2 linked regions of the Arabidopsis thaliana genome follow. The protein of the gene in region 2 interacts with the protein of the main gene of each other region in a biochemical or structural test. Each region holds a gene or a part of one and is shown on either strand. Other genes may lie near its edges. The genes, in order: FLS2 and RPS5.

Region 1 (6,835 bases), on a different chromosome or scaffold from region 2:
ATTTTGTAAGTGTTATTAGACATCCAAATTTTAAAACCGCGTAAACTACACTACAATTTAAAATCGGAGTATGTAACCTACATAGAGCCTAACCACCTCCTAAGCCGTATTTAATAACATTGTTATATTATGTAAAGATATGATATATATCGTTAAGTAATATTATGTAGTGAAAATCCGTCACAAATCATAATAACTTGTAGTGATCAAACTTCTTGTATATAATCTACTTTGTTCTCGCGAGCACCTTAATCAATCATCCCATTTAAAAAATTTCTTTTTGCTATTAACATCTTAAATGTTAAATCTATCATTGAGCAATGTAACAGTTCTGTGTGAAGAAACAAGGAATCACTTACTTCTACATTGTCTCTTTACAAAGGAAATTTGGCACATGATAATGCTTCGGTTTGGGCAATCTCCTTATATCTTTGCAGACTTGTCTATTACCATAGGTAATCATATAAAAGTTATTATATATGAACAATGTTCCTATGGTAATAGAAATTCACATTTTATTAAAAAAACTGATACGAATAATTCAAAGAAATAAAATAACTTTTATATGATTGTCCATAAGATATAGTCAAAACGCAAAAGACTTTGCTCTAAGAAATATTAAAAAGAAAAACAACAAGACGAGGATTATTTCTTTTCAATAATTAAAACATTAGTATAAATACAATCACATGCTTAATGTAATAATGTGACAGTTTGGCCGAGTGGTCTAAGGCGCCAGATTTAGGCTCTGGTCCGAAAGGGCGTGGGTTCAAATCCCACAGCTGTCAATTTGTTTTTTTCTTTGACTCCTTTGTTCATCTTTATTTTAAAATCAATATAAACCCTTTTCGGACATTCTAAATATTTTGACCCAACCTAATGATATTCATTATTTGTCTAACGGGTCAACTTTCAAGTCTTCAAGTAAACATGATATGGAATTATATGGGTCAACTCCAAGTAAGAACAGTGCATGCATCTTGAAGACAAAATTGATTTTTTTTTTTGTTTTTAATTAATGGAAATTTTGAAATACTAATGGGTCAAGATGAGGTTGTCCAAATCAACTGATATCATATATGACCAGATTCCTCAATAGTCATTAGTCAATACAAAATCCATAATCTTTTTTAAAAATATAATCTTTTTATTTTAAATCGCCTATTTTTTTCCATTCATTTGTCCAATGTGAAAAGCCATAAATCATATATTAAGAAGTTGTGAATTGTGATCATAGGAGTAATATTTCTATCTGAACAAAAATTGAATTTTGTTTTGCTTTTTGTTGAAAGATAAATAAAATGTTTGGCAGATTGTTTGTACAGAACACAACTTGTTGATAAAACAAATTCCATCAAGACAGCTAATGAGCTTTTGATAGTCAGAGCTTTGAAGACGTGTTAATGAATTAAACTGATTAGACCTAAAACCAAATATTTAGAAAGAAAAAAATATGATAATTGTTATGTTATTTAATCAATAGTCAAATACTATGTTGAGTACCAATCATTTCAGTTTCAACGATTGCTACTCTTTTGACCAATAACAAAAAGGTTTTTATTTTTCATTTCTCAAACTCCATTTTTGTTTGTTTTTAGCATAAAAACAGCTAGAATGTGAGTTTCATATGTATTATATACTATAAGAAATCATATAAATTAACGACTAGAACATATTGTTTTCATTCTAGTGGTATATCTGAGTTTGACTAGAACGTTTGGAGGCAGATTAAAGTGATTTCGCCTTGTCAAAACTACTTTGTATATGTTATCAATCAATCGCTCAAAACTAAATCGGAAAAAAACTACATAAATAAGATATGGAAAATGATACTAACACAAACTAGTAAGTAAGTAGTCACTACATATTCTGGTCCCATGAATATGGCTTACATAGTACATACATTGTGAGATTAAATGAATATGATATATAATACAAGCATATAAGCATGTGCATGACTATGAAGTGGGAATACATTTAGTGCCTTTATATGCAACTTGACAGAATTACCAATTATGTGAATAGTGAAACTTATATTGCGTCTTGGCCTTTTCACATCCGTGACATGATCCCTCAAATCTATATCTTCTTGCGGCATATGCTTATATATAAACATATGACTTCGTCTATAGATTTATATCCAGATAATTAATTCTCTCATAATATCTTCTCCACAATTTCAACTCTTCTAAAGTCTAAACCATGAAGTTACTCTCAAAGACCTTTTTGATATTAACTCTCACCTTCTTCTTCTTTGGCATTGCACTAGCGAAACAGAGCTTTGAACCAGAGATCGAAGCTTTGAAATCCTTCAAGAATGGTATTTCCAACGACCCTTTAGGAGTATTATCAGATTGGACCATCATCGGTTCGTTACGACACTGTAATTGGACCGGAATCACCTGCGATAGTACCGGACATGTAGTCTCGGTTTCCTTGCTGGAGAAGCAACTTGAAGGTGTTCTGTCTCCAGCCATAGCGAATCTCACCTATCTCCAGGTTCTTGATCTCACTTCAAATAGTTTTACCGGCAAAATACCGGCTGAAATAGGAAAGTTAACCGAGCTTAACCAGCTTATTCTGTACCTAAACTATTTCTCTGGTTCGATTCCTTCTGGAATCTGGGAGCTTAAGAATATTTTCTATCTTGATCTTAGAAATAATTTGTTGTCCGGTGATGTTCCTGAGGAAATCTGCAAAACCAGTTCTTTGGTATTGATTGGGTTTGATTACAACAACTTAACCGGGAAAATACCAGAATGCTTAGGAGATTTGGTTCATCTCCAAATGTTTGTAGCAGCTGGTAACCATTTAACTGGTTCGATTCCGGTATCAATTGGTACTCTGGCTAATTTAACGGATTTAGACCTGAGTGGTAACCAGTTAACCGGAAAAATACCGAGAGATTTTGGAAATCTCTTGAACTTACAGTCTCTCGTTTTAACTGAAAACTTGTTGGAAGGAGATATACCAGCTGAGATCGGAAACTGCTCGAGCTTGGTCCAACTTGAGCTTTACGATAACCAGTTAACCGGGAAAATACCAGCTGAATTAGGGAATTTGGTTCAGCTGCAAGCACTCCGGATATACAAGAACAAACTTACTTCTTCAATTCCATCTTCATTGTTCCGGTTAACTCAGTTAACCCATTTGGGGTTATCAGAAAACCATTTGGTTGGACCGATATCAGAAGAAATCGGTTTTCTTGAGTCACTTGAAGTCCTCACACTTCATTCCAACAACTTCACAGGAGAGTTTCCACAGTCCATCACAAACTTGAGGAACTTGACAGTCCTAACGGTGGGGTTCAATAATATTTCCGGTGAGCTCCCGGCGGATCTAGGGCTTCTTACAAACCTTCGGAACCTTTCAGCGCACGACAATCTTCTTACCGGACCAATACCTTCCAGCATAAGTAACTGCACCGGTCTTAAACTCCTGGACCTGTCTCACAACCAAATGACTGGCGAGATCCCGCGGGGTTTCGGAAGGATGAATCTTACGTTCATTTCTATTGGGAGGAATCATTTCACCGGTGAAATTCCAGATGATATCTTCAACTGTTCAAACTTGGAAACTCTTAGTGTGGCAGATAACAACTTAACAGGAACTCTCAAGCCATTAATTGGGAAGCTTCAAAAACTCAGGATTTTGCAAGTTTCATATAACTCTCTCACTGGACCGATTCCTCGAGAAATCGGGAATCTGAAAGATTTGAATATCTTGTACCTTCACTCTAATGGTTTCACAGGGAGAATCCCGAGAGAGATGTCGAATCTCACTCTCCTCCAGGGGCTAAGGATGTATTCAAATGATCTTGAAGGTCCAATTCCTGAAGAAATGTTTGATATGAAGCTACTCTCAGTTCTTGATCTTTCCAACAACAAATTCTCAGGTCAAATTCCTGCCTTGTTCTCCAAGCTTGAATCGCTTACCTACTTGAGTCTTCAAGGAAACAAATTCAACGGGTCTATCCCTGCAAGCCTTAAGTCGCTTTCGCTTCTCAACACATTCGATATCTCCGACAATCTTCTCACTGGAACCATCCCTGGAGAGCTGTTAGCTTCTTTGAAAAACATGCAGCTTTACCTCAACTTCTCAAACAACTTGTTGACTGGAACCATCCCAAAGGAGCTTGGAAAGCTTGAAATGGTTCAAGAAATCGACCTTTCAAACAATCTCTTTTCTGGGTCTATTCCAAGATCTTTACAGGCCTGCAAAAATGTGTTCACACTGGATTTTTCGCAGAACAATCTCTCGGGTCATATACCAGATGAAGTCTTCCAAGGCATGGATATGATCATAAGCTTGAACCTTTCAAGGAACAGTTTCTCTGGAGAAATCCCTCAGAGCTTCGGGAACATGACGCATTTGGTCTCCTTGGATCTCTCTAGTAACAATCTCACTGGTGAAATTCCAGAGAGTCTCGCCAATCTTTCGACTCTGAAACATCTCAAACTAGCTTCAAACAACCTCAAAGGCCATGTTCCTGAATCCGGGGTGTTCAAAAACATCAACGCCTCTGATCTAATGGGAAACACAGATCTCTGTGGTAGCAAGAAGCCTCTCAAGCCATGTACGATCAAGCAGAAGTCGAGCCACTTCTCGAAGAGAACCAGAGTCATCCTGATTATTCTTGGATCAGCCGCGGCTCTTCTTCTTGTCCTGCTTCTTGTTCTGATTCTAACCTGTTGCAAGAAAAAAGAAAAAAAGATTGAAAATTCATCAGAGTCCTCATTACCGGATTTGGATTCAGCTCTGAAACTGAAGAGATTTGAACCAAAAGAGTTGGAGCAAGCAACAGATTCATTCAACAGTGCCAACATCATTGGCTCAAGCAGCTTAAGCACAGTGTACAAAGGTCAGCTAGAAGATGGGACAGTGATTGCAGTAAAAGTATTGAATCTAAAGGAATTCTCTGCAGAATCAGACAAGTGGTTCTACACAGAAGCTAAAACATTGAGCCAACTAAAACATCGAAACCTGGTGAAGATCTTAGGGTTTGCGTGGGAAAGCGGCAAAACGAAAGCTTTAGTGCTTCCATTTATGGAGAATGGAAACTTGGAGGACACCATTCACGGCTCTGCAGCACCGATTGGGTCGCTTTTAGAAAAAATCGATCTTTGTGTTCATATCGCAAGCGGAATCGATTATCTTCATTCTGGATATGGTTTTCCCATCGTTCATTGTGATCTGAAGCCAGCTAATATACTCCTTGACAGTGACCGCGTTGCTCACGTAAGCGATTTTGGAACTGCTCGGATTCTAGGTTTCCGCGAAGATGGAAGCACCACAGCTTCAACATCAGCCTTCGAGGGTACAATTGGATACTTAGCTCCAGGTAAATTACTCACAACACTTAATTTTCAAAACCCTAATTATGCCATCGACTTACTTGAAATACACTCTTATTTTTCATGAACAGAGTTTGCTTATATGAGGAAAGTGACAACAAAAGCCGATGTATTCAGCTTCGGGATCATAATGATGGAGCTGATGACGAAACAGAGACCAACTTCGTTGAATGATGAAGATTCACAAGACATGACTTTGCGCCAATTGGTGGAGAAATCGATTGGAAATGGAAGAAAAGGGATGGTTAGGGTTCTTGATATGGAACTCGGGGACTCTATTGTTTCTCTGAAACAGGAAGAGGCTATTGAAGACTTTCTGAAGCTTTGTTTGTTCTGTACAAGCTCTAGACCTGAAGATCGACCTGATATGAACGAGATTCTTACACATCTGATGAAACTTAGAGGCAAAGCGAATTCATTTCGAGAAGATCGTAACGAGGATCGAGAAGTTTAGCAGCAAAGCTTTTTTGATGACATTTTTTCGACTTTGCCAAACTCTGTTACGAAGGTTGAATACTTTGGACGTAAAACGTTCTGATTTTGCTTTTCGTTATGTATTTCTGTTTTATATAAGGTTGAAATTTGGTTTTGATGAACTTTTTCATATACAAATGCATTAGGCTACACATGGATACTATAGTTTCTTATTGCAGGCAGATCAGGAATAAGGTTCGTCAAGTTTTTGTCATCATGATGGAGATGACGTTTGTCCCTTCCATTTAATCATGAAACAATACCACTGCTAGTATCGGACAATAGGCAATCTCACGACGGTTATCGAGAACACAGAAGATGACTCAAAGATCAATGCCACACAAGACAATTGTGTAGACTTGCCAAGTAATAGCTGTGAAAACTAGAGTCATTACATTTTCATCTCCCCGGGTAATGTTTTCCATTCTCGGCTAGCGAACCGCAGAAATTGCAAGACTAGACTGATAGAAAACCATGTCAGTGACTGTTGAGAATGAATTCTTCTTTAAAACTTTGCAATTTCATATAATTCTTTAACATCACTATACATTTTTGGACGAACTACATATTGTTTGCTTAATCCTTACAAAACAAAATCTAAAGAATATAGCACAAAAAATTGAAAACTTTAAATCGGAGACAATTACTTCGCTTTTGTATGGCAATAGAGAAAAGTAGTTGAGCGATGTTGGTCTATGCGGTTCTTGGTTCTGCCTTTGGTGAACGTCCTTTGAAGCTGAATGTGCACAAGAAAATGATCAACAAAACTAACTTGTCTTTTTACTTATTTTCCTTTGCTTTGATGCGACCACAATGAAGAAACACAAAGAACAAACACTTGTTTTTGCCTGTAAATGACAGAAATCAACAAAGTTTTCGTTAGATTTTTTATGAGTGGATGGCCAATGAGAATGATTTGGGGACTCACGGTTTCTAACGATGAATCTGAAGAAGAACGAATGAGAAGCAATAGAGTGGAAGAGCGATGGCAATCCCAGCTATGAAGT
Region 2 (6,333 bases):
GGTAAACCAAAAATAGCAACTTTGTCAAGCATAGTTTCCTAACAAGTGACTCAAGACAGTATAAAAACAAACCCACATAAAAAGAAAGCTTGAATCGTAGTCAATCTTTCAAAAACCCATACTTTTGTTTTGTCTTTCCAGAAATCGTATTTATTAATTAATGAGAAACACGATCATCAAAGATATAAACAAATACCAGCTTCGAGAGACGAAGACGCAGGAGAGGAGGAGGAACTAGCGGAAGCAAGAATCCGAGGAATCGATCGCCGAAGACTGAAGTTAACGGCGGGAAGAGGAGTAACGGAGAATCCGGCGGCGAGCGTCTTCCATCGTCCCTTCTGCGAAGTTCAAAGCTCGCATCCATTAGATAAAAAACAAACAATGCACAAATACATGCGATTGAAAGAAGTAAGCGAAGAGGAGAGTACTCGGATTGAAGCAGAGAGAGTTGCACAAGGCGGAGATTGCAACGAGAGTGGCATTTTTTTCGCTGAAGTTGATCTGAGTAAGCAGATCCAGCCGTTGATATCTTCCAATTAACGTGGGTCCCGCCTTTTCTAATTTATCCGAAAACTGTCAACGAGATAAGACAGTTAATTATTATTTTATTACAATGGTTAGGAACTTGCAAGTTTTTATTCATTTTCTCATGAGTCTCTGTGTAATGTTTCTATGAAGCCGAAACAAACACTCATCGTTTAGAGAAAGAGATAAGTACAAATCCAATGATCACTAACCAAAAGAACGATGAGAACGGTTATGCAAACAAGAAGAGACAAGGAAGAGATTTACACACCGGCAAATGTCTTTAGACCATGACAACAAAAGTTTGTAGAAGAAAGTGAAGTTCATTATGTTTCTCTCCACCGCCACCTGGATGAAGGTAAGAAACGGAGTTGAGTTGCTTGGTCCTCCCATTCAACCCTTTCTATCCATTCTCTCTCTCCATAATATATGACAAGTTCTTCACCCGCGATCCCACTTTTAGAATCCAATGGAAGCTTTCTCAGCTTTTCACATTTTTCTACGTGGATAACTTTCAGACACGGAAAATGCAGAGCCTTTGCATAGATTCTCTTGAGCCCGCGTAATTCAAACAGGTGTAGTGTCTCCAATTTCCTAAAAGGAACAATCGTAGCTGAATGCTCCTCAGCTTTCTCTTCACTAATTATATCCTCTACTTCCTTTGAGAACCCAACTTCAAGAAAAGTAAGATTAGGAGCAAACAAAAGCCACGTCAAATCCTTAAGACCATGGCATTTAGCTATAAAGACTCTGGAGAGGTTTGAGAAGCATGGAGTTGTGGGACTTTTGTTCCGAGACGATGATGAAGTTGTCCTCTCTATCTTTATCTCCCTCATTCCACATCTTTTTATCCCGAGCTTGCGGAGATTACCCATGGTTGGCAAAGTCAATACTCTCACTGATTCTTCCTTAAGGTACTTAAAATCTACCTCTTTTATACATTCCACCAACCTTTGAGAGCATAACAATGGCTCTGCAACCAAACTTGATGATATATCTAGGGTTATAACTTCTAGATGTTCTAAGAGCTGCAGCTCCTTCACTAAACTCATATCTAGCAACAGTCTGGAATCTCGTAGTCCCAATGTCCTCAAATTCCACAAATTTGATATCCCTAATATACTCCCAAGACTGCTCATGTGTTCGAGATTCAGATGTATTAGCTTTTTCAATGTCCATAAACCAACGGGTAGTTGATGTATACATGTATATGACAAGTTGAAATATCTCAAAGAGGCCAGCTCTGATATTTCTTCTGGTAATTCATTAAGACTCTGATTCTCTGATAGATCTAAAACCACCAGATGAGGCATACATCGAAAGAATTCAGCCGAGATCTTTACCACGTCGTTCTTTTGGAGAAATAGAGTTGTAAGTGCAGCACACTCGTGACTGTCAAATATCTCTTCAATCTCATTATTCATCAAAGAAATCTTTCTCACAGTGTTCCAATCCTTGACTTTTGGTACTTCACGTAACCCAACACCAGCTCGCACAATACATTTCTCCTTTTGCTTCCCAAGATCGGATGATATCCATAGAGCCATCTCACGAACCACATCATGCATTTTCACGTTTGATTTGTTCCTTTCTTCCTCCAACAACAAACATGCACGGACAAGGGTACCAATTATCTCATAACCTTGGTTAATATTCCTCTCTCTGCCTTCTTTTTCATTTATGAATCCCTCACTTATCCAGTAGTCTACCAACCCCTCTTTATCAATAAGATAGTCTTCAGGAAACAGAGAGCAATAGAGGAAGCAGGATTTCATCAGCTCCCCATTTAAATTATCATAGCTATACTTCAAAACATGGAGAATTTCATCTTCCATACCTGAAAAATCTATGGCAGATGATGTTAAAACGTCAATGGCATGACACCATTCATGTACTGTTCTTTTGCATGCCATAGCTTCACCGATAACATTGAGTGCTAATGGTAGGCCACGACATTTCCTAGCGACTTTTCTAGCAAGTCCGGGAATGTCTGGGTGACTTCCCAGTGTATTTTTCCCAACCTTCATTTGAAACAAATCCCAAGATTCTTCGGGTTGTAGACAGCTAACTTCCATCGGATCATCAACCCCCATGCGCCCACACACATCTCGAGAACGAGTAGTGAATGCTACCTTGCATCCGTTATCTTTGCTTGGATACGGGACTCCAACCGCTTTTAAATTCACTTTCTCCCATATGTCATCCAACAATAAAACAAACTTTCGTCTCCTAAGGACATTGTGGATGTCAACGGCTATCTGGTTATCGTTTTTCTCGCTCCACTCCATTCCCCCAAGGCCTACCTTTTCTGCTATGTCTCTTTGTATCTTACGGACTGTTGAACTTCTAGACACAACAACCCATATCACAACATCAAATCTGTCATCTATTTTAGAAAACTTATTGTTGATCTTCGTGAGTAGTGTCGTTTTGCCTACTCCCCCCATACCGTACAGACCCAAAATCCCGGATCCATCTTCCATGAGACGGTTCCATGCCTTTTCAAGCATTATCTCCTGACCAACAATTGTGGGTTGAAAAGGGATCTCATCCACATCAGCAAACGGAGTTGCCTCAGAAACCACATCAAAGAATCCTTGAGAACTGAGACTCTCAACTTCCTTCAACATCATGATAACTCTTTTCCCATAACGATAGCTCAATTTCAAATCTTTGGAGCAGAAACCACAAAGACACAACCTTTGAAGCTCAACTTCATTACTACGAAGCAGATCATTAAACTGGTTTTGAATGATTAGGACACTAGTAAGCCATACCTGAACTTGGGAAAGCCTTTGTTGACGCCCTGTAAACTCTTCTGTTTCCAACCTTCTTATCACATCATATTGCCGAGCCTTGAGCATTCGCATGGCCTTCTGCAGAGAAGCCAGATTCTTGGAGAGATTGTGAATATAACTTCCCCTGACACATAACAACTGAGAGAACTGACTCACTACTTGATCACATGGCAATGAAACAGAGAAACAACCTCCCATCTCTGCACAATCAAGGAAAAGAGAGAGAGTGAGAGAGAGAGATTCACAGATTAGGTAGAGAAGAGGAATAGATAAGAAAGGAAAAGTCTATGTCACTATATGCATAATATAAAATCTCTAAGACTAGTCAATGTATAGTAAAAACGTAAACTTTGAAACAATCCAAAGATGTCAGTATGTCATCACTACGTTGACTAATCTCTAATAGACAAACAAAAAAGCTAAGAATCATCTCAAAGAACATTTAAGGGTTTATGGTTCTGTAGAATTGCAATCATCTTGAACTCAGATCAACGAAGGAACTTACTAAACTCACAAAAATAACATTTAAATTTTCCATAGAGAAATAGTTTTTCACTTGAGAAAGGAACACTTACAAAAAAAAATCTCCACAGAGACAATTCATCAAACAAGTGGTGTGCACACTGGAATTGATCACATAGGGTAATAAAAAATAGGCTGACGAACCAAATTGAGAAATCAAAATCAACTCATCATACTAGCATACTTGTCTTCTTCTATCTTATACTTGAGGAAACAGAGAGAGAACACTATTAAGGAACATATTTTCACATTCTTCCCACTTAAAATACAATCCTAGCTACATTACAATGAACACTCACAATCCAAACATACAACTAAACTGGAGTTGTTGTTAGAAGTTTGATGTGCAAGTCATGTTGACAGATGAAGCAAAAAGCAGAGTAACAGAACAAAACCAACGACACTTTTTTGAGGTTTAAGGGGTCAAGATTTCGATTCCGTACGGCTAAAAGATTAATTGACAAACCAAACCGAAGTTGGGCCGTGGAATAATAGAAAAAAAGTTAGGCCCAAATGACATATATAAATATATATATATAGCTAGGGTTTAGGAGGCAAAGGACAAAAGAATCATGGGGAAGAATCATCATCCCTTGGGCCGGAGGGGCGGGTGGGGCGGGTGGGGCGGGTGTTTCGGGCCTATGACAACATCGAAACGTAATGTTTACGCTGGAAGAAAATTCAGTACGTGTGCGAGACTTTATAATTTGAAGGGATCGGATCACTCTGATCAATTTCATATTCAGGTTATTCACTTAATCTTTGCAATTGAGAAATATTTCTGTCATCTAGGCTTTTATTTATTGAATTCATTGATTTGATTATTCTTAATTACAACTTGTGTTATTATATATTACAGGAAAAGTTGTCGGAGATTAGCTAAGGATTCGATTCCTCCGCTACGAGCCCTAAGCGTAAAGAAGAAGAAACTCTTGATGATAATCCACCTCAAGATGTCATCTACCTCAGTAGACGGAGCTGTCTCAACCACCACATCAAACTCTACTTAAGAGAACTGAGACTCATAATATTCCTTCACATCACAAGAACCATTTTCCCATTTTTTGGGTCATGGGGCTCCTCAACGCAGCCTACAAGTAGGTAAGAAACGGTATTGTGTCGCTTCGTCCTCCCATTCAACTCTTTCTATCCATTTTTTCTCCTTGTATTTTATGACAAATTCTTCAACTTTGACAACACTTTTAGAATCCAGCGGAAGCTTTCTCAGCTTCGGACAATTGTTTAGTATGTCAAGACATCTCAAACGCTGAAAAGGCAGAGCATTCCAGTAGATGCTCTTCAGCTCAGACAACTGATACAAGTTCAGGCATTCTAGTTTCTGGAAAGGAAGAATCTCCTTTTCTAAAACACTTGCAGCTTTCTCTTTGCTTATTATATCCTCCAGATGCTTACACCCCCAAACGCGAAGATTGATCAGGTTTGGAGCAAACAGCAGCCACGTCAAATCCTTTAAACCATCACACCCTTCTATTCGCACATTAGAGAGGTTTGAGAAGTTGGGATTTGTTAGATTTTTTTTCCATGGTGTCTTCTCTATCATTATCTCCCACATCCAACAGTTCCATATGGAGATGTAACACAGATTATGTATAGCTGGCAAAACTAATACTCCTACGGATTCCTCCGGACGCTCCCAATGGTCCCTAATATAAATGTGTTGAATACATCTCCCAACTCTGGGATAACAGAACAATTCCCCAACCAAACCTGACGAGATATCTGTGGTTATGAGTTCTAAATGTTCTAAGAGCTGTAGTTCTTTCATAAGCCCCGTATCTAGTGTCGTTTTTGAATCTCTTAGTCTCAATGTTCTCAAACTTGACAAATATGATATCCCTGAAATGCTCTCAAGTCTCCTCGTCCTTTCCAGTTTCAAATGTACTAGCTTTCTCAACTCGTGTAAACCATGAGGTAGTCGCTCTATATATGTCCCGGACAAATCAAGATACTGCAAGGACACCAACTCTGATATTTCTTCTGGCAGTTCACTAAGACTGTGATTTTCTGATAGATCCAAAACAGCTAGACTAGGCATACACCGAAAGAATTCCATTGAGATGTCTACCAACTTGTAGTTATTCTGAAGGAACAGAGTTATAAGTTCAACGCATTCGGGACTGCCAAGTATCTTTTCAAAATTGTTATTCATTAGCGACATCCTTTTCACAGCTCTCCAGTTCTCGACTTCAGGTAGTTCATCTAATCCAATGCCGGCTTGCACAATACATCTCTCTTTATGCTTTCCAAGATCAGAAAATATCCACAGAGCCATCTCACGAACCATATCATGCATACTCACGACATCTTTATCCTTTGCTCCCTCCAACAATAAAGATGAACGGACAAGAGTACCGAGTATATCATAACCTTGGTTGAATGCTTTTTCTCTACCTTGCTTTTCTTTTATGAATCCCTCACAAATCCAGTATTCAATAAGCATCTCTTTTCTGATTTCAAAATCTTCAGG

What was found.
Region 1: the proteins of RPS5 (region 2) and FLS2 form a complex in vitro, tested with the Arabidopsis thaliana proteins (one study listed by BioGRID).

What each region holds. Positions count from the first base shown.
Region 1 is NC_003076.8:18,789,600-18,796,434, forward strand, and holds FLS2 (Leucine-rich receptor-like protein kinase family protein), read left to right. Parts: upstream 1-1,975; 5' UTR 1,976-2,202; coding exon 2,203-5,341; intron 5,342-5,425; coding exon 5,426-5,808; 3' UTR 5,809-6,309; downstream 6,310-6,835. Other genes in the region: RWA1 (O-acetyltransferase family protein), read right to left, coding at 6,762-6,835.
Region 2 is NC_003070.9:4,142,199-4,148,531, reverse strand, and holds RPS5 (Disease resistance protein (CC-NBS-LRR class) family), read right to left. Parts: upstream 4,276-6,333; 5' UTR 3,899-4,275; intron 3,745-3,898; exon of another isoform or gene 3,524-3,744; 5' UTR 3,522-3,523; coding exon 852-3,521; 3' UTR 618-851; downstream 1-617. Other genes in the region: AT1G12230 (Aldolase superfamily protein), read right to left, coding at 197-338, 429-482; AT1G12211 (uncharacterized protein), read left to right, coding at 4,418-4,666; RFL1 (RPS5-like 1), read right to left, coding at 4,927-6,333.